Linked DNA regions of Rhinolophus ferrumequinum. Each later gene encodes a partner of the first gene's protein in a complex. Links are inferred from orthologs where the notes say so. Each region holds a gene or a part of one and is shown on either strand. Other genes may lie near its edges.

Evidence for each region.
Region 2: FAM8A1 (region 1) and UBE2J1 share a complex: the UniProt entries of both Homo sapiens proteins name them as parts of the HRD1 complex. The link is inferred for Rhinolophus ferrumequinum from reciprocal best matches to the Homo sapiens genes FAM8A1 and UBE2J1.

Annotation. Positions count from the first base shown.
Region 1 is NC_046292.1:77,363,300-77,375,933, forward strand, and holds the start of FAM8A1 (protein FAM8A1), read right to left. Parts: upstream 5,855-12,634; 5' UTR 5,808-5,854; coding exon 5,093-5,807; intron 3,964-5,092; coding exon 3,843-3,963; intron 2,215-3,842; coding exon 2,091-2,214; intron 1,590-2,090; coding exon 1,450-1,589; intron 1-1,449. UniProt on the Homo sapiens protein: Plays a role in the assembly of the HRD1 complex, a complex involved in the ubiquitin-proteasome-dependent process of ER-associated degradation (ERAD).
Region 2 is NC_046286.1:46,024,781-46,038,003, reverse strand, and holds the start of UBE2J1 (ubiquitin-conjugating enzyme E2 J1), read left to right. Parts: upstream 1-8,220; 5' UTR 8,221-8,865; coding exon 8,866-8,896; intron 8,897-13,223. UniProt on the Homo sapiens protein: Catalyzes the covalent attachment of ubiquitin to other proteins. Functions in the selective degradation of misfolded membrane proteins from the endoplasmic reticulum (ERAD) and is essential for cells to recover from ER stress.

The DNA.
Region 1 (12,634 bases):
GTATTCTGTCAAGTTCAAAACATGTATTTGAAACATTCAAGGTATACTTGAGAGACTGTTTTACTTTTGATAGCTGAGTTATTTTCAAATATTATGATCAAACCATCTCGGCTAGCTCTAAAGACTTCATGAACATAAAAGACTGGAACTTTCATGTGAAAAGCTGTAATATGTGAACTAAAGTTTATAGTATTTTCTAGTATTTTACCAGGAGAAAATATTTTCTTTACTTACCTTTTCTATAGTCACTCATTCCTGTGTTTTAAGTATCTTCTAAACTGAGTATGTTTACTGCAGTACCATTTTCTACCTTCTATGAAGCACTAGCATTGTAAATTACTGTATATTCTTTTATCATCTCTCTTTCTTTGCAGGATTCTGTGATTTAAAAAGGCTTTTAAAAAAGGTTTCAACAATAGCTTACAATGGAGAATTATCCTACTAATGTTAGATTTCTGCCTTTTAGTGCACTGAGAGGCTATAGAAAAAGCACAGTGGCTAAGAGTGTGGACAACGAATGCAGACTAGTTGATTTTAGAACCATTTCCTATCAATCACTATTTCCTATCATTCCACAATTGTGAAAAGGGGATGGTACCTACAGTACCTATTTTTAAAGGTTAGGATTTAATTGGTAAATACACTTGCAGTGTTTTTAATAGTTTATAAGAGGTGGTCAATAAATATTAGCCATTATGAACTCATTAAAAGTAGTAGCCAGGATTATTATAAGCACAAAATTGTAAGGAAATTTTAAGGATGTCAGCAAAATCAAGGCTTCTAGAATCTCATTCATATTTCTTTATGTAATAATACAGCTCTGAATCATTCTAGCAGCAATTCTAACAGTATGTCATATTGCTCAACTAATTATCACTTAGTCACCTTCACAACGTTCATTGCCCCTATTTGTACCTTCCCCCAGAGCCAGATGCCAACAGCTAGCCATAAGTAGTGGGAGTATTACAAGCTGCATCACTGGGGGGGGGGGGGGGGGGGAGGAGAGGGCAGGATGCATGCATGCATAGTTATTAAAACCCTTATTGCCTATTCAAGACGGGATAATGACAGGTACTACCAAATGGAGGCTCACAGCAGATCAGGAACTGACCCATATCCACAGATCTAGAGAATTAGTAAAGCCAGGCATGGAGCACGGACGTAGATAGCATCAACACCCAAATCACTCATTATCGTGACTCATACTTCATAGTCATTCTCTTGAAAATGTATACTGGAAAGGGGTCTACAATCATAATAATTGAAAAACACTCATAAACTTTATTTTAAACTTAATGAATGTAAGCCTATTCACTATATGCCATGAAAAAATACCAACATTCTAAAAATACAATGTCAAATGGTATATAACATGAATTATATTGATTACTATGCTTAAAATTTATTATTTTCTTAAGTACATAGTGGATTAAGCTAAGAAGAACTTACGTTGTGATGCTAACATTTGAGGAAGGAATTACTAAAACCCGACTTGGTGCAATAAGCACTGATGTATCACACGTCACAACTCGAAGCCCCAGCAGGAACTTCCCTGGGGTAGCTCCGCCTGCTCCCCAAATGCAAATTATCTAAAGAAAGAGGATAATTTAGAAATAACTTACTAGCTCAACTATGCCAATTTTAAAGGTAAGTTTTCCTGCCATATTATTCAGGTTTTAAACATTTCAAGTTGAAAGAATTTTACAGAATATTCAAAGGTTAATCGTTTAATGCATTTCTGCAAGTCTCTAACACCACCAAATGTCTACTGTAATATTTCTCTATGACCCATTATATTTTTTAGCAAGTTGTTTCTATGGAAAAATACATTTCAAGTTCCACAACCAATTTACAAGTATATTTTTGGACAAGACTGAAATATATTACAAAGAAATTATAACATATCTCAACTTGGAAAGTTTTTTTTTAACTTGAAAAGTATTGTTAATTAAAGAAAATTTGGAAAAAACTAGTAAAACAGACATCTGACAAATATTTGAAAAATAAATTTCTGTTAACTTTTTTATCTTGGGCTGATAATCTAAAATTAGATAATTAAATATTAATATTTGCTGAAGTCAGTAGCTTACCTCATAGAAACAAACTAATAATCTGTATATAAGAGCCACAACCATCATTTTTTGCAAGTCTTCCATTGATGTATCTTCATCTATTTCTTCTATTATATAATGCATAGCAAACTTAGAGATATCCCTACACAAAAGAATAGTTTGGGGTTATAAAGAATTAGTTATCAGAGCAGTTGCATTGATTTTTTTTTTCCATTAGTTAAGTCATAACTTTAATTGAAATTCTAAACTAATCTTTAGGTTTCCAACCATCTAATTTCACAAAACATTCACCAGCTTATGCTATCATAAGTAGCACTATCATAAGCAAGCACTGTTCTAGAGCCCTGGAGATAGATACAATGAGATATAATGGTGAGTGAATTCAACATGGTCTCTGCTTTTATGGAGATTATAACTAATCAGGGAAAGCAGAACAATAATAAAGTGGGATATGAAATAAGAGACTGGGGTATGTGACAGGAAACCATAGTGTACTACGCAAACACACACCAGGTACATTTAACTTGTGAAGTCTTCCCAAAAATGATATTTAAGCTTAGATTTAAAGGATGAAGAGAAGTTGGCCAGACTAGTTAAGGGAGAAGTTTCAGAGAGGGACTAACAAGAGAAAGCCTTGGAGGACTAACGAGAAAGAGGACGATGAAAGCTGTAAGCAGTTTGGTATGGCTCAAATATTAAATATGACAGGTGACCATGATTAAGAAATAGAGGCATCTGTTCAACCTCATGAAGACAAGACTATCCTGATAGCAATAAGAAACCACTGAAGGAATTTAAGGCAGGAGAGGAGCAGAGTCAATTTATGATCTCTAGTTTTATATCAGAGACTGGACTGAGATAAGACAGGAGACTGAAATACCAGTTAGAAGAGTTTTGCTATAATCCAGGCAAGAGATGACAGTAGTTGGACTAAGGAGAAACGATGATGAAAAATGATCTGACAGTGAAGAGGAAATGGTCTGGGTTGAAGGCTATACACCATTTTCAACAGAAAGAAATTGGTACTGGATTGGAAATGTAGGGGTAGGAAAAGGAGGACAGAAAAGGATCACAGGAACACTGGTTCCTGGCAAGGGCCCTGAAATTTGACTACAATGGTTTGTATCTTGACTCTCTATCTTGTATTTCACTTATTACCTTTGTAAATTCGTAAATTCTGGGCTTAATTTCTTGTAAATCCAAATTTCAATCTCTGTAAAATGGAGGTACTAACTTCTACAGCTCATAGTGATGAATCCATATAAAGAGGTGAGCTCAATGCCTAGCATGTAGAAAGTACTTAGCAAGTGACAATTGCTATTATGATTATTAATCTGAAAGGATTATTCAAATAAATGGGTCACTTTGCAGTTCATTTGGGACTTCCTTGATAATATAAGTAATCCCATTTGGAAATGCCATCTAGCTGATTATTAATAGTTCATCTACCAAAAGCTCTTTATTCCTAGCAAGAGGGAAGTGAATTCCTGGCTTAATAGTTGAAAAAAATCAAAATAGGTTTGGAGGCTCCTTTTACCTATTTTTAATAGGTGAGACTCCTACAGATTCTGCAGAATTTATTAAGATTTTTCTCTTTTGTAGTTATTTCTTAAAACCAACAAGAAAAAAAAATCTGATAAAGCTCCTATAAAGAAATCATGAGACTGGCCATCAATTATTCATATAGAAACTTGCAGGCATAAAGAGAACGAAACACAAGATATGTAGACAGTAGACATTAAAACCTCTCTGCAAATGGCCTTTACTTACTTTATTCCACTGAGATGCATAATGCTTAAGACAATGGTTGCTTTGATAAAAAAGAGGATAAAGAAATCCACCATCTCTGCCATAAATCTGTGGACCAAGGATGGAATAACATACTCTCTGCCTGTAAATTAAAAAAAAAAAAAAGGTTAGGAACACTAATCATTTCATATAGGCCTGAGAACCCAAGCTAAGTAAATTAATAGGGAATGTAAAGTCAAGGTACAAGGTGCTAATAAAAAAATTTATAATCTTGCAACAATCACTGGCATTGACTCTACCAACAGTACATGTTATTAAAATATACTACACTATTTACAAAGAGTTTAAAGTTGGCTTTCACCTTAATGTTTAAAAAACAATTTCAATGGTAAATTTAATTAAGGTACTCAATGCATTTCACTAGGGACTCAAATGAGAAACCAGGTGATCAAGAGCCTGTGACACAAAATTAAACGTTTTTTAGTAAAAATCAAGGTTAAGTATAGACAATCAGTACAAAGTATATGCCCATTACTCATTTTACCTCCTGTTTAGTTTCTCTTGCTTTCTATTTAATAAATCTGTCATCCTACATTCTGAATGGGATCAAATTCAGAAACAACTAATTCTTGTTCCCCACATCTGTGGCTGAATAAACAAAAATTCTAAATAATAAAAAGTAATGCAAAATATTCTAATTCCCATAGAGAAGTAAACAGACAACATACAAGGATAATTCAACCACGGTCCAGTCAAAAGTTCAAAACTCCATTTGTATTCATGTAAATATCCATCAGTTTCACTGTCCCTAATGTAATATATAATTATATTCTATGTTATCTATATTATATATCCTACAATATGTAGATAATATATAATAAATCCACGTCTGGATTATTTCCAGCATTACCAGTCAACCATCCTCCCCCCTACCCCACCATGTAGGTTTGCCATTTGGAAGCGTGGAAATCATGAGGATGGTTTGAAGGGCAGAGATTTCTTTACATGCAGAAATGATTACTCTGAGGAGAACGGGAATCAATTCGGAATGCCAGGTCTAAAGGAAGAAGAAACTGCATAGCCTTTCTGTATACACTTGAGAATTTAAGGCCTGGGCAAACCATAGCTGAAGCACACGGAGACACACCAGTCCGAACAGCGGCAGCGGCAGCAGCCACACGCGTAAAAAAGCGTGCCTGTTCTACCCGATCCAGGTAGTTGTTCCCCGAAGACCCTTCTGCTCCGCCCCACCTCCCGATCCCGCTTCTCACCTGCCTGGCGCCCGTTCTCGCTTGGGGTTCGCGAAGGGGCGGCGGATCCTACCCTCGTCACTGGGGTTGCCCGGACGGATCCCTGCACGTGAGGAGCCCGGGGTCCCAGGCCCGTGACTGGAGCAGGGGTGGAGATGCCTGGAGTCGCTCCTGGGTCAGGTCCCGCGGCCGCGGCGCTCAGGAAGTAAAAGGGGTTGTAATAGCCCAGCTGGAGGGGCGACGGCGCCGCCGTCTGGGGGGCGTTGGTGCCGCCGCCTGAGGGGTAGCTGAGCGGGGATGGCTGGGGGCCACAGTAAGCTGGGAAGGCGGCCAGGCCGCTGTGCCAGGTGAGGTAGCCGCAGTAAGACTGCCACAACCACTCGTGCACCTGCCGGGAGTACTCGCGGGCGCTCAGCCGCGCGGGTTTGTCCCGCGGCGCCGCGGCCTCCGGCGACTCGCAGCCCGCCGGCTCGGGCAGCCCTGCCCCGGAGCTGGATATCGCGTCCCCGCGCTTCACAGGCTCGCGCTGTGGCTCCGACTCCTCGGCGGCGGCCGTGGTGGAGGCGAGGCCCGCGGCTGGGGGCCGGTCCGGGGACTGTGGTTCGGCCTGCGGCTCGTCCCAGGGATGCGGGGCGGCGGCAGGAGGGCCTGTCAGAGAAGCGACGGGCTCTTGGTCCCCTCCACCGTCGCCCTGCCCGGGAGGGCGGCCTCGGGCCTCATCCGGCCCCTCTGCCATCGTCGTCTCAGCCCCACTCTGCTGTCTCGTCACTGCACCGTCTACCACCCTCACTGGCCCCTCCCCAACGGCCCCGTCGCCACCGCAGCAGCCACAGGCGTCAACAATCCACCACCGGAAGCGGAAGCCCCGCCTCGCGGGGCTAGGCGGAGCGGAGCGGGGCGTGGCGGGGGGGGGGTAAGTGAAGCGAGGGCGGGCAGGGGAGAAGTGGGACGTGAGGGGGCAGGCTGGGGGAAGGGGGCTGTGCGCCCGGGCATCGCCTGGGTGACTGCTCGCCAGTCTGCTCGAAGTCCTTGGATTGTAGATTGTTGGGCCCAGACCGTCACGGTCTACCCAGTCCTCACCTGGTTTTAATGCAGTTTAAGGCCGGAGGCTTCTCCAGATAATCCCAGGGATATGGACTCAGGCTGTACCAGGAGAAAGGCTAAAGGTGGAAGAGGATTTCCTAGAAAGGTTCCAGGAGTCAGCGCCACCTTTTCCATTACAGAGCCGCGATTGTTTTGCAATCTGGGCACAGGGCTTGTTGCTTATTTCCGACTGCGTTCATTATAATTAACTAGTCCTTGGCCATTTGTACTCAAGAAGGTGATACAAGACATATCCCCTTAAGAGGTTAAGAAAGTAACCAAACTAAACAGGGACATAAGAGAGTATGGTTCAGCTGCAGATTTTCATTGTAAGAGAGGAGGAGGGACTATGCTGATTTGCAAGCTAGACTGTCCTAATTTTAGAACTAAGACCTGTGTCCATAAAATCGTTCCACTGCTGTAGACACAAGCCTACTTCTCCAGCAAAACTGCCTTTCCTCAAACCCAGCGTCTCAACCTTTGGTGCCTTTTCCTTTATTTTGTGTTAAGGCAAGTCTCGTTCATCTCCCAGGGCTTTGGAGCCTTTTCTGTGTACCCAAGCCCAGGCATGATTTCCCCTTCTTCTGAACTACATATGGCTTCTTATAGATTTATATTTTAATATACTTTCCTATGTCTTTGATTAAGTGACAGGAATATGTATCCCCAGTACCATACAGAAGACCTACAGAGGCCAAGTATGTACCGTATGAATACTTGTTAATAAGGATGCAATAAGGTTGCATCTTTATTGACTTTGCTCTGGGAGATGTAAAACGTGTAACTTTAGCCCTTAAAAAAACTAATGATTTGGTTAAAGGGAAATACTTTGATGAAACACTTGAAGACCTATTTAAGCCAATAGGAGTATAATATAAATCCAAAATAAGGGAAAGGTCACAGTGGCCTATAGCTAGAAAGGTTACCCTTACAAATTTGGTTTTAAAATCAACTGGGAGGCAGGCCTGTTGGCTCAGTGGGTTAGAGCACAGTGCTCATAGCACCAAGGTCTCAGGTTCGATTCCCACATGGGCCAGTGAGCTGCACCCTCCACAACTAGATTGAAAAAAAAAAAAAAAAAAAAAAAAAAAAAAAAAAGACTTGACTTGGAGCTGATGGGTCCTGGAAAAACACACTGTTCCCCAATATTACCCAATTAAAAAATTATTTAAAAAATTTTAAAAATCAACTGGTAAAAAGTTGTAATGTTTAAACAAACAAGTATTCCAAGTTTGGGTGGCGGAGGCCGGAGAAGCAGGAAGAAAGAAATGAAGCTGGCGTGAATGAGTGTGAAATACTGTTCTTATTGGAGACATGGACTTTGTTTTGAATAACACTTGATTATATTGCATCTGGCACAGTGCCACCCACATAGTAGACATTTAGATTAATCAGTACTCTTGGTTGCAATTGTCAGAAATCTGATTGCAACTGATGTAAGGGAGATAAAAGTAAGTGAATTTATTGACTTGCATAACTAAAAAGTGCAGGACTAGTTTAGGTTTCAAGGATATCTGGTTACATATAATCAAATGATAGCTTCAGGGATCACTTCTCTTTCTCTGACCTTGCCTTAGAGAAAAGTAAGAGTATTTCCGTCTCAGTGATGAAACACTTAATTCTAACTGGCTTAAGCAAGAAAAAATTTTTTTGCCATATGTAACCAAGTTTAGAGGTTCTACCTTCTATAAGAAGGTTCAACAATAGGCATCTATAGGCATTTCAAAAGAGAGAAGAGAGACAAAGTTCAGAGAAATAATGGCCAATAATTTTCTAGACTTGAAGAAAGAGGACTCTTTAGATTGAAGAAGCACATCAAGTCTTGAGAAAATAACATACATCATGATGAATGTAAATAAAGAGAAAGAATTAATGATCTTAATAGGAGCCGTTAAAACATAACCTACCTACAAAGCAATGACATTTAGACTGGAAGCCAAATTTGCAAAAATAAAAATGTATGCTGAAGATATTGGAATATATGTAGTACTGTGGAGACACTATTAACCTAGAATGTTATAACCAAGTGAATCATCACTCAATGAGGATGTAGTATAATGCACCACTGCCAATCCAAATAACATACTGATTAACCCTAGCCTCTTCCCATCACACTCAGCTAAGGATTGAAATCTCCGGGATGTAAAGAGTATTCATGAGTCAAAAACATAAATGGATTCTGGAAAGATGGCAGTACATGAATTTTGAATCTCCATGAATCCCCACGTAACAACAGAGTAGCTAAAGAAACCAAAAATGCATGGAACAACATTTACAACAGTAGATGACAGATAACCTCACGAACCCCAAATACAAGAGGGTGGGGTCAAACCACAGATGCAAGACTTGTAGTGTCAGTGTTGAAAAAATCATATCAAAACTGGAAAGATATTAATAAAATGATATAAGACATGAAGCAGAAAATTCAGAATAAGAAAAACTCAGAAATGAAATCACAGAACTTGGGAAAGAATTAGAAATAAAAAATGATTTCAGAGAAGAATACTGAATGAGAAGAAACAGTAGTAAACAAACACAATAGGTAGAGCCCAAGGAGAACTAGAATTTGAAAATGAGATTTTCTTTAGTTAAAAAGAAATATAGAGAGACATAGAAATGACTTGAGACAAATGACAAATATTGAAAGTGGGCAAAGAAGATCCAATATATAGATAAAGAGTCTCTGATAAAACCAATCCCGCTAACAGAACAAATATAACACATTATAATTCAAGAGAACATTTCCCGAAATAGAAATATTCTATATATATATGTATATAGAGATATATAGATCTCTCTCTCTTTTTCTCTCTCATATATGTATTCCCATATGTATACATATATATACACATATTTATATATTTCATATGTATATTCATATATATAACCTCATATTGAAACCTCATATTGAAAGAGCATACTGTATATCTGAAAATATTGAAAATGAACAACAAATTGTATTCTAGTAAAATTACTAGACTTTGCATTTTGAAAAGCGGTCACTTAGACAAAAAAGAAAGTAATTTATGAGAGAAAGAAATTGGATTATCATAAGACTTAAGCATTAACACTTCATGCAAGAAGAAAATGGTGAAACATTTAAAATATTCAAAGAAAGAAAATGAGAACCAAAGACATTGTATACAGCAAAACTGACTTTCGAGTATACAAACATAAACATTAGTTATAAAATGAAAGAACTCAATGTTATTCACTCAAGTTTCTCCTGAGGAATCTACTAGAGAATGAAGCTTAGTGACCAAAATCACTGACAGACAATGACAGAAGGACAGTTAAATATTAAATATTTAATTACATTTGGAACAAAACTAAATGAAGGTTTGTTTCGGTCAGAGTCCCGTTAAGAGAGGAAAATTACACAGTAGTTTGAACAGAGAACATTTACTATAAAGACTTGTTAATGGAATTGGAGTAAAGGAGAGTTAGCTAGTAAGAGGCAAAGAGAAATCCTACCATATAGGAATAGTAGATATAGGGAGCAGCCACCACTCCTAGGGCTGAAATAGAGTGGACAAGAAAGAGCACTCCCACCTCCACCCGGCCCCTCATTGCTGGAAAGGGCATGACTGTGGCTCACTGGTGGCCAAAGAAGTTCACTGAGGTGTGACCTCAGTGGGGTTCATTAGAAATCCTCTCTGTGGAGTGCTGGGAGAAGATAGCCATAAGGAGGTGCCTTTATCTCAGAATTTACTGCAAAGTGCCCAGAGAAGCCGCTTGCAAGAAGGTGCTTTGCCAGTAGCACAATATGAAGCCATCCAAGAAACAACTGGGGGAAGCTGCCATGGGAAATTGCTGCTTGTTGCTGGCCACTGGGCACTGCTGAAAGGAGCCATGCAGTCTGCAGGAGCCCACGCAGAAAGAGAAGCCTCAGGCTGGACCCTTGGCTCAGGCGGTTAGAGCTCCATGCTCCTAATTCCAAAGGCTGCCAGTTCGATTCCCACATGGGCCAGTGGGCTTTCAACCACAAGGTTGCCGGTTCAACTCCTCGAGTCCTTCAAGGGATGGTGGGCTGTGCCCCCTGCAACTAGCAACAGCAACTGAACCTGGAGCTGACCTGCGCCCTCCACAACTAAGACTGAAAGGACAACTTGAAGCTGAATGGCACCCTCCACAACTAAGATTGAAAGGACAACAACTTGACTTGGAAAAAAGTCCTGGAAGTATACACTGTTCCCCAATAAAGTCCTGTTCCCCTTCCCCAATTAAAAAAAAAAAAGAGAGAGAGAGTAGCCTCCTTCTCCAGTGGTACCACCTTCTCCAGTGGTACCACCTTCCCCCACGCGAGCACCTTCTGTTAAGAAAGCCTAATGACAAACTGGCAGGGATGGGAGAAGTATTTACAGAGTTCTGCTTCATTATTGCAGAGTGAGCAAAGATTTGGAGCTGAGAGTCAATAAATTGACATCTAACACAGGATTGAAAGAGAACATACTCTGAAATGGATTTATATTCTGAAATATTGATACAAAATTACTATAAAACTAGAGGAGAGTATGGGGAGGACATCAGCATAAATTAAGTTTTTCAGTATATTCATGGTGGTAGTATTAGTATTATTTTGAGAACGTGTGTGTAATATGGGTAAAATGAGTAATTATCATTAGTTCTCTCTCTCTCTCTCTCTCTCTCTCTCAGTTTATATATATCAGATATATATATATATATATATATATATATATATATATATATATATATACATATATCTTATTTCCTGGGTCTTTTCAGTAGCAATAATCATCCTTAGCACCTGGACTGTGGTCTTGAAATACCAAGTCCCACTAAAAGAAACAAGGACTTCTTGGAGAAATGGGTGAATCTAGGTCTGGGACAGGAAATGTATAGAATGAGCATGAAATATTTTGTCATCCTAGAGAGCACAGGAACTATTAAAGACTTCTAGGGTCATTTCCAAAGGACCTAGGATACAACTTGAAGAGGCTCCCAGTGGCCAAAAATGAGACAATTTGAGTTTCAATAAGGATAATAATTAGAACGGACTGAAACCCATTAAATATGTTTAAATACACGAATTCATAATAATATGTAATCTTACCAAAGGGATCAAACCTGAGTCTGATCAATCTCTGGATCCAACTGCCAATTTAAAGGAGATAGAGGACAAAGAAGCATATTGAAATATACCATACGTGTGCAATCTGCCAAATGCTGACAGTGTGGAACCCTAGAAGTCAAACAGCTGAGTTCTTCAATAAATGAATTGTAAGAAAAAGAAAAAAAATTAAAAAGTAAGACTAAATCATAATGTCTGGGGATATACTTAAAAAATACAAAAAAGTGATAACTATCAAAGTCAGGATGGTGATTACTGTGTTAGGAGGGAGGGATTTGTGATTGTGATGGAGCACAGATAGGTTTCCGTTGTGGCTGACAAAATTCTGGTTCTTGATTGGGGAAATGATTAGAAGGACATTCACCTTAAACTGTTAAAGAAAGTGACAAAAATGGAGAGTTTTTTACTCACACACCTAGACTCTGAAGGATATACCTCAGTAAGAGGGAAATGGAACTCAGAAGGAAGGAGTGAGTTGCAAAAAGAAATGATTAAGAAAATGAGATCTGCAAGGATCTAATTCTTGAGTTAAATGAGTTTAAGAAAAATAGTCTAGAAAAGCATGGTGAACTGACCACATGTACTCATCACCTTTCCAAAATACCCATTGAAATGAAACAAAGGAATAAAGTTATAAACCTACAAGGTGGTTGTAGCTTTGCAAGATAGAAGGTCATTGACTTAAGGAGGAGAGGCTCAGAACTTGGAGGTATAGGGTACTTTGGAAAGTGGAAGTGAAGCACAATGCTGGCAGGAAGCAAATTAAGTAAAAATATGTTTGCTGAATAGTGACTCCTTGTCCCCCAATTTTTCCACAACTCTGTTCTTGAAATTCTATCAGCCAAACTTATGCCTCCTACACTAGATATTGGAGTATTCTTTTTTGGAGAAACCGAATGATCCCAGAGAAAACCTATATGTTGGATTTGGGGGTCCAAGAACAAAAAATGTGGTTTGCCAGCTTATCAATCTACCCTGAAAACTACCAGGCTATAAAAATCAGACTAAAGGCTCATGGAAAGAAGTTTTAATAGGAAAAGTGAAATCTAAGAGTATGTTTGAGATGTGGAAAAAAATATTGATGAGAATTTGATAATTAAAATAGTTGCACAGTTATACAGAAAACCAAAAAAGTTTTCAACAGAAAGGCAACCATTTAATACCAGGAAAATCAAGCCTTTCTGTGCTACCCAGAGTGGTCCATCCTGCGTTATTCTGAGTTCCCAACATAACTTAAAGAGAAACTTTCACAATATCTGGAGCCCTTGATGTCCTGCAAAAGAAGGAAGACGATGTCCTCAAATTTCTTCCAGCAGGAACCCACTTAGGTGGCACCAAACTTGACTTCCAAATGGAACAGAACTTCTACGGAAGGAAAAGCGATATTT
Region 2 (13,223 bases), on another chromosome or scaffold:
TTCATTTCTTTTTTAAAAAGGATCTCACAATTCACTAATGGGTCATGACCTGCAATTTGTAAAGCACTGCTACTGTGAACCCATTGGCCAGATCAGAGATAACTGAGGATTTTCTTTCTAGCGTAAAATATTTTCCTTCTCTCTCTGTTAATTTTTAAGATCTTAACAAACATATGGGAAATTCTGAGGAAGATCTTGAATTTTTCTTTCATTGGATCAGGACTTTCTGCTGTGTTTACCAGAGCAGTTTTACCTTTCATTGCCACTCCTTGGATGTTTTTGTGCTCGTATGCTGGGTTGTATTAGAAGGGAAGGAGGGACCCAGGGGATATCAGTCCTGAGAGAATCATCTATTACTCTCTCCTTGACTATAAGAAATAATTTTACTTGGAGTTTGGTAACTCATGAGTTCATATCTAACTTTTATGGGGTCCTTTGTTAATTCAGATGACATTGGTCTCATCCAGTATCAAGAATCCATAAGTTTTGCCCTTTTGTGCTATTTTGACACTTCCAAGAACCAGCTGGAGAAGGCCCTTCCCCATGAAAAGGAGCTGATCTAGCTGTGAAACTCAGGGTGGAGGTGTGAGGTGGAGGAGGGCATCAACTAGCGTCCAGCTGCCTCAGGCCTTGACCACCCTGCTTCTTCAATCTGTACTAATAAGCTGCTAGGGCAAGGGGGCTCTTTCTAGTACCCCAAAACTGAGGTCAAAAATCTAAGGCCCTTCCCTGAATGGCCAACTACAGCAGAGCAATTAAGACCTCAGTTTCTTCCATGCTAACCCTCACCATCACTATGGAGAATCCCATTCCTACAAGATGTTTGTTTGCTTCCAGCTTCCATTAATGTCTAAGTCCCTCAGCTGCTGCCTAATTCTCTCTGCGTCCGTTCCACCTGCATCAACTATAATAGATAACAGCAGGACTCAGGACTTCTCCCAGACCTCTCTGTAAGGTGGTCCTGGTAATAGGCTTTCATTTCCCCTCCATGGAAGCTGCCAGTAAAGGGACTGACTGGGAGAGACCAGTCCTATATGGCTCTCCACCTCAGTGGGAGAGGAAGGAACTCAGGTTTATAACGTGCAAGAAATGGTGCTACCAGTTCATGTCCTACTGTTTCAGGTCAGTGTTTCCCAAAATTACTTGATCTTAAGAATCATCTAGGGAGCTTAAAAATGCAAATTCCTGTCTCTACCCCAGCCTTCTTAAATCAGAATTTCTGGGCAGAGGTTTGGGAATCTGTATTTAGATAAGCACCCTAGGTAATTCTTATAATTTTGGAGACATTGTTTGGACTGTAGTTGTTAAAAGGGATGGGGAAGGCAGGTGATGGGGGTCTAGGATTGGAGGCAGGTGGTGGGGGACTAGGATTGGAGTCACCTAGGGGAGCTTTCATCATTCCTCCACTTCTGCGTGGGCGCACACACACGCACGCGCGTGCTGCAAGTGTTAGTGTCTCCAAAATAATTATGTAGCTTTTAAAATCTACATTATTTAATCTACAATTTTATGGATGTAAATTAAATAATTAAAAGTCTATTAGAATCATTTATTAAATTAGATATTTAAATACTTATTCACATTTAATATCACAAATTATACAAAAATTGTTTTCTCTCACTCAAATAATTTTATTCAAATTCTTCACAGACATCTTCTACAGCAGGGTCTTTAGCATCATTGGGACAACATTTTGAATCATCTAACAGTTTGTTTCTAGTTATTTAAGATAGAATATGTTTTAAATTGAGTAGGATGCTGTCTATGGAGATTTTACTGAGTCTCAAGAACCATTTGTTAAACATTACGACAGGATTTTTCCCCCACTTGCATGTTCAGTCTCCAGAATTAAGTATTTCTTATACTCTTCTTTTTACAAAGTCAACTAATAGTGATTTCCAATGCTTGTTCTCCAAGGTCATACGTTCAGGAAAAATTAATAAATATGTCTTCACTTTTCCCCCCGATTTTGTTCAGTGACCCTTATAAGATAGAAAAAAAAAAACTGCCACTGCTTGAAGTCCTTTCAAGACATATTGTTGTCCTGAAAAGTATTTTTTGTTCAAAAAGGAAAGTAAAGACAAAAATATAAGACAACTCTCTTTTCTGAAGAATGATGTATTTGGGAAAAGTTTGCTCTCTATTCTGGAATGTATGGCATATATTCCCATTTAAGAACATCTGACCTAAACCCAACTTCAACTTCTGGGGAAGTCAGACTGGCTCAGCTGTTTTCTCACAAAATACTGGAAGGCAGATGGAGTGTGGCATTACCTGCACTTTTTGGTTATTTTGTGCTAAAAGGATATATTGCAGGGAAGTCCAGGACTGCTTTTTAGAAGTTGATGAGTTGGTTATCATTCAAAGTTTGCCTATAATTGTAAAGTGGATTTAATGGGAAACAGAATAGTGTTGTTTGTCCTAAAGACGTTAATAATATTGCCGAAATGCCCTGTGGCTGCAGAATTACTACAGGAAGTTCCATAATTCACATGTGCTCTGCGCATTATCTGTAGACTGAAGAATGTTTCACATCTCTATGAACTATTATTTTTTTTGGAACTTTGTGGATGCTCTAGTGGTAAATAAAATACAAATTTGTTTAAAAGTATTGAACTCATAGTAATTTTTTGTCCTTTTGCACTTTCCTTTGCAATGAATACAAACTGAAGCTACTTTGAGGGTAAGGAAATTCTAAGCTATTTAGGCTAGTTTGTAGGTGACTAACTTTGATCAGTCAGCAAAGTGGCCAAAAGGGGTCCAGAGAATGACAAATTGAAGTGACAGGATATGGGGACACAAGAAAAAAGGCACAGAGTGGCAGGACAGTGCCCTGAAGAGCTCTTAAGGCACCGGGACTCAGCAGGAGGGAAGGAGAAGACAGAGCTGTGTCAGCGCTAGCTGATGGCACATCATGAAATACCTATTCTTTCACCCATGAACAGCAGTTTCATCTTAGTTGCAGGTGTTTCCTTTAGAGCTAAATTTAGAAATAGAAATACCTCTTGTTAAACTCATCAGTTCATCAGAACTAAAGAGTAAGGAATATGAGTGGGGGATTGTCACTTTGTGAGGGGTGTAAATGTCTAACTATTACATTGTTTTGTACACCTGAAACTAATTTTTAAAAAAAACAGTAAGGAATATATGAGTATTGTAATTTTTGTGGCTAATTTTAAATCACCTTTATTACAAAAAAAAAAAAAAAGTAATTCATACAAATACAGCAAAAACACAATATCAAAGTAGGTTTCTTTTTCCTCATCCCTAATAGCAGGAGCTGCGAGTTTGGGGGAGATGTCAGATAATTCAAAGCTATGGTAGCAGCTTGGATCTCCAAGAAAAGGTGTAATTTTTAAGAAAGCCACAGTAAAAATGATTTTAATAATATTGCAAACAGCTATTTACAACTGCATTTATAAAATGCTTCTTTGCTTATTAATGGGAAAAAGCTTTTAAAATGATGTACAAGTCATCTGGTAAAAGACACCTACCTACTACTAAAACTAGGATTGTAAGCACTCCACTGGGTTTCAAATATACTCATTTGATATCTCTCCATAATATTTTCTTCTGGAATACAGTATTAGAAAAGTGTTAAAATAGAATGAGCAGGAAGACATATCTTGAAAATAGAAACTGAGAAGGAAAAAATGAAATCAGTTTCTCTACTGGATCCCTCAGCCAGCCACCAGGTGGTAGGCACAAGCATAGCATTAGAGCTGCAGTGCAGTGAGGTGGGGCACAAAACAACTCCTTTCTGACTTTTTTGTTAAAATAACCAGAGTTGGAACTTGTGTTGCTGATAATGAACAACATCTAACATTAATATCAGCTACATTCCTACGGGAAAATTAGTCCCATTTTTCTTAACTACTCCAAAGGGGGAAATTCTGGGGGAAAACAATAGGAAAAACTATGGCAGATGTTCTTTTTTTAAATAATGATAATAATAATAATAAACTATTATAAAATATTCAAAGGAATTAATAAAATGTTTACACTAGAGACCACCTATGTCTTTTCAAGCTCTTTTTCATTTTAAATCATACTTTAGGAAGACATTGATGTAAAATTAGTCAGTTTATGCTATCTATCTGGTAATAGCACTGCTACTTGCAAAACAAGCAATCCAAGGTGTACAGAGATTGCCAAAGTGGACTCATTTATGTTAGGGGAATTAGCATGGAGCTGGGAGACCATGAAGAAGTTTGCCTTACACGGTTCTCCATAACCTTTTGAGCTTCTCAGCCATGGACTTCTTTCTCACCATGACAAACTGATCATTTACATTCTTTACTTTGAAAGAAGCTAACCGCTTTGCCAACCAGCATTCTTTGTTTGCATGTTAAACTCAACCAATCCCAGTTAACCTACCCAGAATCCTTTATTTACATAAAGAGGGCCAGATTGAGAACAGTACATGTAACCTGAGCCTTTATTAAAACTGCATTTCTTTGTTTTTCCTTTAGCTTAGACCTCTTTATTGTTTTACACTAGTTAGCTGATGGCAGATATTTTTAGTATAAAAAAGTACATACAATGGAATTTCAACTCTATTCATATACCTGTACTTTATAAATAAAGGCTCAAGCAAGGTAAATACACTACAATGTTCATCATGGCCATTTTTTTAAATGCTAAAGAATAAATATCTTAAAGTGTGTGGTCCAAGAATAGCTCTGATTCTAAGAAGCATATCCCTGCTTTCAAATGGTGGGGGGAAAGGCCTTGTATGACACAGCCTGATTCTGCGTTAGCACGGTGAAAACAATCTAGGTTTCAGAGTTGGAAGATCCAGATCTGAATCAGTGTTTTTCTACTTTTAGATGAGTAGCCTTGAATATGTCAATGATATTCTTCAGAACCTCTGTAAAATGAATTTCAAAGTATTCAAATCAAGACATAAATGAGGACCTAGAAAAATTTCCTTTTATCAGTATGATAAAAATGATATACCAAAAAAGATAAGAACTTTTAATGTAATTGTAAACTGAGTATTTAAGTAAATTGTTTTTTCTGAGACCTCAATTGTCTTCATCTGTAAAGAGGATATAAATAATGAGGACTTATAAGACCTTTAATATCATAACTTATGGCCCCAAATTTGGAGATTTGCAGCTTGAATTCTGAAGTTGCTTAGAAGGCATTGAAACCGGAGGGCAACCGAGTCCGGGGTTTTATGCTGCCTTCGCTGCTCAGGCAATAGACCGACACAGGAGTTGGGCCATAGAATAAGCGTTTATTTTCAGAGCACCGGTGGTCTGGGAAGGCAGCAGGTTAACACCTTCAAAAATTGCCTTAACATTCTCAGACTGACTTGGGTATTTAAGGGAAAATCGGGGCGTTCGTCTAAAGGCTATGTGAGGGTTGGGATGGGGTCTGCATGGAGCCTTCCCTCTGGCAACGTGATGCTCGATTCTGCAGTGGTGTCAGCAACCCAGAAAGGATGATGTCTGGAAAGAATGATGCTAGACCATTGAGACTGTGAGCAATAAGCCTAAGGATATTAATCATAAGTTTCAGGGTAATTTTCTAAAACGGGGAACTGGGTGGGACGGGACATTCTGAGCTCAAGCCGCAAAGAGATGATTTATTGTTAAGCTATAGGTAGGTGAAGGAAGGTGAGGCCAGGGACGTGGACAGGCCTCTACTACTGGGGTCCCAACAGGGCCCTGCTTCAGCATAACTTTGCCCTTTTGGGGCTCCGAAACCACCTGTAGAGCAAGAAGCTCCCATGTAGTGATTGTGTTGTTTGAAAAATGGTACCCCCTGTGCGGTTCCTAAGCAACACCCCCTGTCCTGGACCTATTGACCCAAAGTCTTTGTCCTGTAAGCCTGAACTAGGACTTTGATAAATGCTTAATCACGTTACCCATTGTTCTTATCATTAAAAGTTCAGTTGCCCCCACCAATCAGAAAATGAATGATGTTTAAGTTTATAACCTTGTTTCCCTAGCAACCCTTTTTTTCAAAACCCTGTTTTCCTCTGCCCCAATGTGTCTTTGGTTCACATGTTCTCTGATATACAATTCATATATGAGTAAAACTCTCTTTTAATTTCTTTGGGAACTTTCGTTAACAATAATCTGTGCTGCTGACAAGGCTGTTGTGAAGAATAAGTGAGTTGATGTATGTGTGGAGGAGAAAGAAATTTTCCTCTACTTTCAAGGTTCTTTTGGCTGGTCTAATAATCAAATCGATTAGCAAGAGAAAATAACTAAATTTAATACATACATGGTAGGGGAACCCCACATACCTGAGAGACCCCATACGAACTTGCCACTGTGCACTTACATTGGCAGCACTGTACAAACAGCCTGGTAAGATTTCATAACCTTGGTATATCAGTGTCTCACAGCTGTGTTCATATCGACGTGTGGTGGTGTCTTGCTGAGTGGTGTTCGTTACTATTGTTGCGTGTTTTTGTGTGCTGTCACAAGAATGTCTGAGTTGGAAATAGAGCAATGAACAAACATTAAATTTCTTGTTAAATTTGGCAAGAGTGGAAGTGAAATCAGGGGTGTTAGTCCAAGTTAATGGAATAACGCCATGAAGAAAACGGCAGTGCACAAATGGATTACAAATGGATTAAATGTTATTCTGAGGGAAGAGAATGTGTCACTGATGAAGAGAGGTCAGGGCGGCCAGTAATGAGCAGAATTGACAAAAACAGTTGTCAAATTGTGCGTCAAAATCCTCGGCTGACTGAGAGAAGCTTAGCAGACCAAGTAAGAATCGATAAACAGAAAAATCTTAACTGAAAATGTTGGCATGAGAAATGTGTGTGTAAAAATGGTTCCAAATGATGAACAAAAAGCAAAGGAGAGTCGAAGTTTGCCAAGACCTTTTGGAGAGGCAGGACAATGTTTTGGGCTGTGTTATCACTGGTGATGAAAAATGGGTGTACTGCCAATACGACCCTGAAACAAAGCATCAAAGTCAGCCAATGGAAGTCAGCCAATGATAGATGACCAAAATAGTTCTGTCAGTCCAAACCAAGAGTCAAAACCATGTTGCTAACCTTTTTTGATATCAGAAGTATTATTCATTATGAATTTGTATCAACTGGACAAATAGTTAACCAAGTTTACTATTTGGAAGTGCTGAAAAGGCTACGTGAAAAAGTTAAGACGAAAAACGATCTGAACTTTTCGCCAACAGTTCTTGGCTCTGGCATCGCGACAATGCACCAGCTCACACAGCACTATCTGTGAGGGAGTTTTTAGCTAGTAAACAAATCACTATTGGAACACCCTCCCTGCTCACCTGATCTGGCCCCCAATGACTTCTTTCTTTACCTGAAGATAAAGGAAATACTGAAAGGAAGACATTTTGATGACATTCAGGACATCAAGGGTAATGTGACGACAGCTCTGATGGCCATTCCAGGAAAAGAGTTCCAAAATTGCTTTGAAGGGTGGACTAGGCACTGGCATCAGTGCATAGCTTCCCAAGGGGAGTACTTCAAAGTTGACCGTAGTGATATTCAGCAATGACATATGTGGCACTTTTTCTAAGATGAGTTGCTAAATTTAATTGTCCCACCTCATAGAGTCAACTTTCTCTTCCAAGTACACAGAAGGAGATATAAAAATACTTCCTTTACAAATGTAAATTTCCCTTACAAAAGGGTAACTTCTGTTTTCAAAGATTCTCCTCTCCTGTGCCTTGTTTCTCAAAATAATCCTTGTGCCAAAGAGGCATATTTTGGGGGTGGCATGTTCTGCTACCCTTCAAAACCAAAGTTGTCTATCTTTATATAACAAAATAAAACGTGCCCAACCAACCTGATTAACTGTCTTCATCCCGCCTAGTTTTCCTTCCTTCTTCAATCTCCCCACCATTCCAATTCCTCTCTCCTTTTCCTAAATCCTTGTTCCTCTTTTAAAACTTCAGAACCCATAGACCCCTTTTCCACGATCCCACTCTTTCCACAATGAACCATGAAGTGTGTCCTTTGAGATTCAACCTTTCATATTTGTATGCTTTTCCCCCAATTCAATGTAATTTCTTAGTTTCATTTTTTGACAAGTTTCAAAATTTTTTAAATTCCTTACAATACTTAAACGTGTCTGGCACCTAAATACATTATCTGAAAAAAAAAATGTTATTAAAATCCGACTCAATTTCCCTTATCACCGGAATTTCCTTTCACTACTTAACTGTTTCCACCCCAAACTACTGAATCTAAAAAAAGCATTTCGCAGACACCTAGGGGCAGCTCGCAGGTAGCCGGGCTACAGGACAGTTTTGCAGCGGGAGCCCCGGGCTACCGCCTGACCTCTCGAGGGCTGGGGTCTGGGACCACACCCGCAGCAGGTAGGGTCAGGTCCGCTTCCAGCCACGCCGTTCCTCAGTAACAGCCGCGAGCGCCTGGGGACCCCGGATGGGCCCGGCGGAAGATCGGCGAGCGGGCTTCGTGGGGCCACGGCGGCAGCAGAGTGACCGCAGGCTGCGCTGACCCACCGCCACGAAGCGACTGCCACGTCAGACCAACTTCACAAAACCTGGGCGAGGGCGGTGACGCAGGCCCGGCGGCCTGGCGGGGTTGGGCCGGGGGCCAATAGAGAAGGCTGACCTCGAGCCCCGCCGCCCCCTTCAGCGACGCCCCGGCCGGCGCCGGCGCCTGCCAGGCCCTCAGGGAGGCGGGGGAACAGCGGAAAAGGCGGCGCCATCGCGAAGCCCGCGCCTCGCCCGCACCCTCACCACCTGGTCCACAGTCCGGCCCAGGGCTGGGCGGCGTCTGCGGAAGCTCCCTCTGCCTGGCGCAATCGCCCCGAACCGCTCTGAGACCGGGGCACCAGCGGCGTGGAGAGGAGACGGCGGCGGGTAGGGCGGCCGGAGCCGGGACAGCGACCAGCCATGGAGACGCGCTACAACCTGAAGAGTCCGGGTGAGCAGGGCTGGAGGCGGTGGGCAGCACTGTCGGAGTGGACTGGAGTGACCCTGGACTCCGGGGCCCGGCGCTGCGGTCCCCTCGCGTCCGCCGCGACTCGCGGCTCCATTCCCGGTGTCGCGCTCTACGCGAGACCGCCGCCTGCAGGGCTGGTGCAGGCCGCAGGGCACGGCGGCCGGGCGGGCACAGTCGGCTGAGTCTGGGGACTGGCCAGCGCTCCGCAGCACCCGGACTCTCCTTTCCCTCATCTGCGTCGCGTAAGCTGGGTTATAAACGCATCCCTAAGAACAGGTGCAAAGGTGATGATGTCCGTGAGTAATAGTTAACAGCCCCTGGCCGGACTGCATCCTGAACACCGTCGTTATCCCTTCTCCGAAGCTGCCACTGGACTCCTTAGCTGCTTGACTCACCCGCATTTGAGGATTTAGTTGCTTAAATATCCCATTTGCAGCATTTGGAGCTAATAGAATTACAGACATAAATGAAATGTTCTGTACTAAACCGGTTAGCCAGAGAGCTAAGGAAACTAGTTGAGTCGTGTACTTTAGAGCTAACCTGATTTTTTGTCATACTGACTAATCTGATTATATATATATTATATATATTATGTATATATTGTATATTATATACATAATATATATATATATGTGTGTGTTTGTATGTATGTGTGTGTGGGTGTGTATATATATGTGTATATATATATACACATATATATACATATATATATATATTTAGTCATTGAAACTTCTTTTCCTGTATTTAATGTCCCTGTTTCATTCACAGAAGCAGCCCAAACAATCCTAGCCTCAAATTCTTTTCTAGTGCATTATAAAGATGCAGGAAAAGTAATCAGCTCTCAGATTAAGGCAGGCTTGAAATGAATCATTGTGTTCTATAAATGGTATTTATTCTATCTGTACCTTGATAAATTTGTCAGGAGGGAGAAACTCCACAGTTTCGTTCTAAATGATAATCCTAAAATATTAGAGATGGTTTGACCAACTCTTGCTGCTTATTATTTTTTTCTTCCAAAAAAGCAGCTTCTCAGTAGGAATCTTTCCTTATGGAAAGAGTTCACATTGTGAATCTTTGATTTTTTTAAATACTTAAGAATATGCAAAGACTCCAGAAGAGCCTGAGGATATTGATTGAACAGAGTTTGTTAACTTGAGTGCTGTCAGGCTAAGAAATGTTAAGTGAACAAGTATGTAGAATTGGTCATAAAATTTGAGGGGGCCATAAATTCCTGTAAGAATCTGCTAAAGGCTATGATCTATTTAAAAAAACATTTATACAATTCAATTTCAGTGGGTTCACAACTTTCCCCCTCTAGCCGATCTCTTAAGAATGCCAGGGGGAAAAATTAAAGCGAAAGAGAGAAGGAAAAACTTAACTTTAAGGTTAGATGGTAGAATGGTTAAATTATTTAGATTGTGGTAGATTTAAATAAAACGGGGAGGAGGGTAAAAATGTATGGTGACTTCTTGGTCACTTGGTACCAAGTTCCTTAGGATACCTGAGATAATGCAAATGTAAATGCACTATCCAGAGATAATGCAAATGTAATAGTACAATTTAGAGTGGAGATTGTCAGGACATTCCTGAATTTTACAGGTTATAATACCTGAGATTGTGATAAACGTTTAATATTCTCCAGAATTTTGTACGTTTCTGAAGTATATGACCTGCAGGCAGGCTGAGTTTTGGTCAACATGCTTCTAGCTGTAATAAATTGCTTCCTCTTTTTGGTTTCAGTTCCTCAAAGGTGGTGTTACTGTTCTAAAACAGAATTTTTAAAAAATCTTTTTTTGTTTTTGTGTGGATCATTTTGAGTTCATGGAGAAGGTGAATTAAATGTGATTTGGGACTTATTGAAAAGCTAGGAGGCATAGTGAAAATGCTTCCTTACTTTGTTTTGTTGTTCAGTCCTGTGATATTTTGGGAGTAATGTATATGTAAAAGGAAGTAGTTAAAAACACTGCACACTGTAAGATAAGAGATACAATCCTTTTTCTCTCTGTCTCATGTGGAGTTGCCTTAGAAGTATGGATGGGACAATTAAGACAATACAGGTAACTGGTTAAGGGTCATTGTGCTAACATGTGGATAATATATACGGATAACAAAAGACGAATACAAATCACATTTGACTTTTGCAATTACAAGAGGTGCTCAAAGTGGTTACCATCTGCTTCCAGACACTTCTGATTATGGCGAACTACTGCTTGAGCAACGTTGACCAAAGTGTCCACTTGTATACATTTTTTTGGCACCGCCGATATAATCAGTCACTATTGTCACCAGGTCAATTAAAACAAAACAAAGCATGATTAAATCACTCCTTAAATTGAGATGTCTTCAGTAGCTTCCTCATGGCTGTGGATAAAGTTCAAAGTAAATAAACCGTTCAGCTTGGCCTACTGGGCTGCTCTTGATTTGATCCTTGCCTTCCCCGTCAGCCTCACCTTCTACCACTCCTATGCTCCTTTGCATTTTCACCAACTGTCCATTCTTCATCCACTGGGGAGCCTGAGTGACCCCCCAGATGGAGCTCTTCTCACCTTTATGTCTTGGTCCCTGTTGGGACCTCTGCTTTGAATGCCTTCCCTTTAAGGCAGCTGAAATTCCTATTAACTCTTCAAGCTTCTTTAAGGCTCAGTCTTGTTCAACTTCTGCAGGCAGGCTAACGTAGTCCCTATATTTGTATATACTTGGTCATTGTATTGTGATTGTTCTCATGTCTTTCTCACTGTGCGTATTTTGAAGGCAAGAAGCAGGTTTTGGTCATTCTTCTATCTCCATTGCTCAGATATTCTCTGAATGTTTTTTGAATGGATGGGTCTTTATGGGCAGAAACATTAGTCTTTAAACATTTGCTTAAGTACCTTTACTAATGGAGCGTGACATTGGGTTCAGGTGCTCCATATACCTGCCTCCTGCATTTTACCCATGCTTTGGAGATTGATGATATCAAGATATTTGCTTTCCAAAAGAAATATATCCATGAGAGACCGTCACGTGTGAAAGATCCCCGTGGCTGGAGCTCTGTCTCCAAACCCCAGTGTACGAGCCCAGTGAGCTAGTAGCCTGGACATGTGAAGAATGCTAATGCCTAGGTCTATAGAACCTAGAGCTTGGACCCAGAGAGATCACGTGGCCTCCATGAAAAGGAAGAACAAGAGCAGGCATGCAGGAGCTCCCCACCCCCTTCCCTGGCACGTTTTATCTCACTGTGGTAGGAGAATTCCATTAAATAACCTTGCAAAGAGATAAGAGAGGAGCTGACAGGGGAAAACGTTTTCTCTCTAGCCGTGTGGTAGCAAGAGATGGCACATCAGCAGTGGCAGACCATGATCTTGCTCTAGTTGCCAGTCAGTACTTTGAATCTTGACTATCCCATAGCAGTGGTATTTCTCCTCGGGATCCAGGGAAGCCATGCCATATGGCCAACTACATATGCTCAAGGCCTGATTTTGAATCAGGGAGAATCACTGAGAGGGCCTTATATCCCAATCCATTTCTGACCCTAATAACTTGTGACTAGGGGAAGAGGAAGAGTTGAAAAGGAAAGGAGAATTAATGTGAAGAAATTATTGACTTCCATTTGACAGACATAAACATTGAGGCAGAATAAGATTAAGTGACTAGTTCAAGGATTTAGGCCTAAGGAATCAGAGCTAGCATTTTATTGCAGCTCTAATCCTAGAGTCCATGTTCGTTTACACTAAGGCATTCGTGATGTATATTATTCCAGAAAAATAAAAAATAGATTATGAAGACATTAGACTAATCTCACCTTCTGTTTGGTTATGTGGCTTTAGTTCTCACATGTGTGTGACCTGTGTGACCTATGAACTAATAAAATCAACATTTTTAGTTGTTGAACCAATGATTGTTCCTTTAAATTGTTTCTTGTAGCATTTCTGACCCTTTCCTATATCTCTCATAATATCCAGGTGCTATTGGGTGTTTATTTTTTCTCTTCTATTGAACTGAGCTGAGTGAAGAGGCAGAGAAAATGTGATAAGGGTATGGAACGACAAAATCTGACCTCTTCGGCTTAGTCATTATTCAGCTAGGAATGAGGACGGAAGGAAAAACAATCTCCTTGGCATCTTTGATTGCTGATAGCAGCCAAACTAATTAACTTCCTAATAGCTTTCATGATTTTACTTATATCTAATAATACATTAATTTAAAAGAATGATATTTTTATATGCTTTCTTATTCCATGGGCCCCTCAGCTAGAATAGGTGGAAATAGCCTGAAAGCCCTTCCATGTTCGCTTCTTCAACCAAAACAGCTATTACTTGTTTTACATATT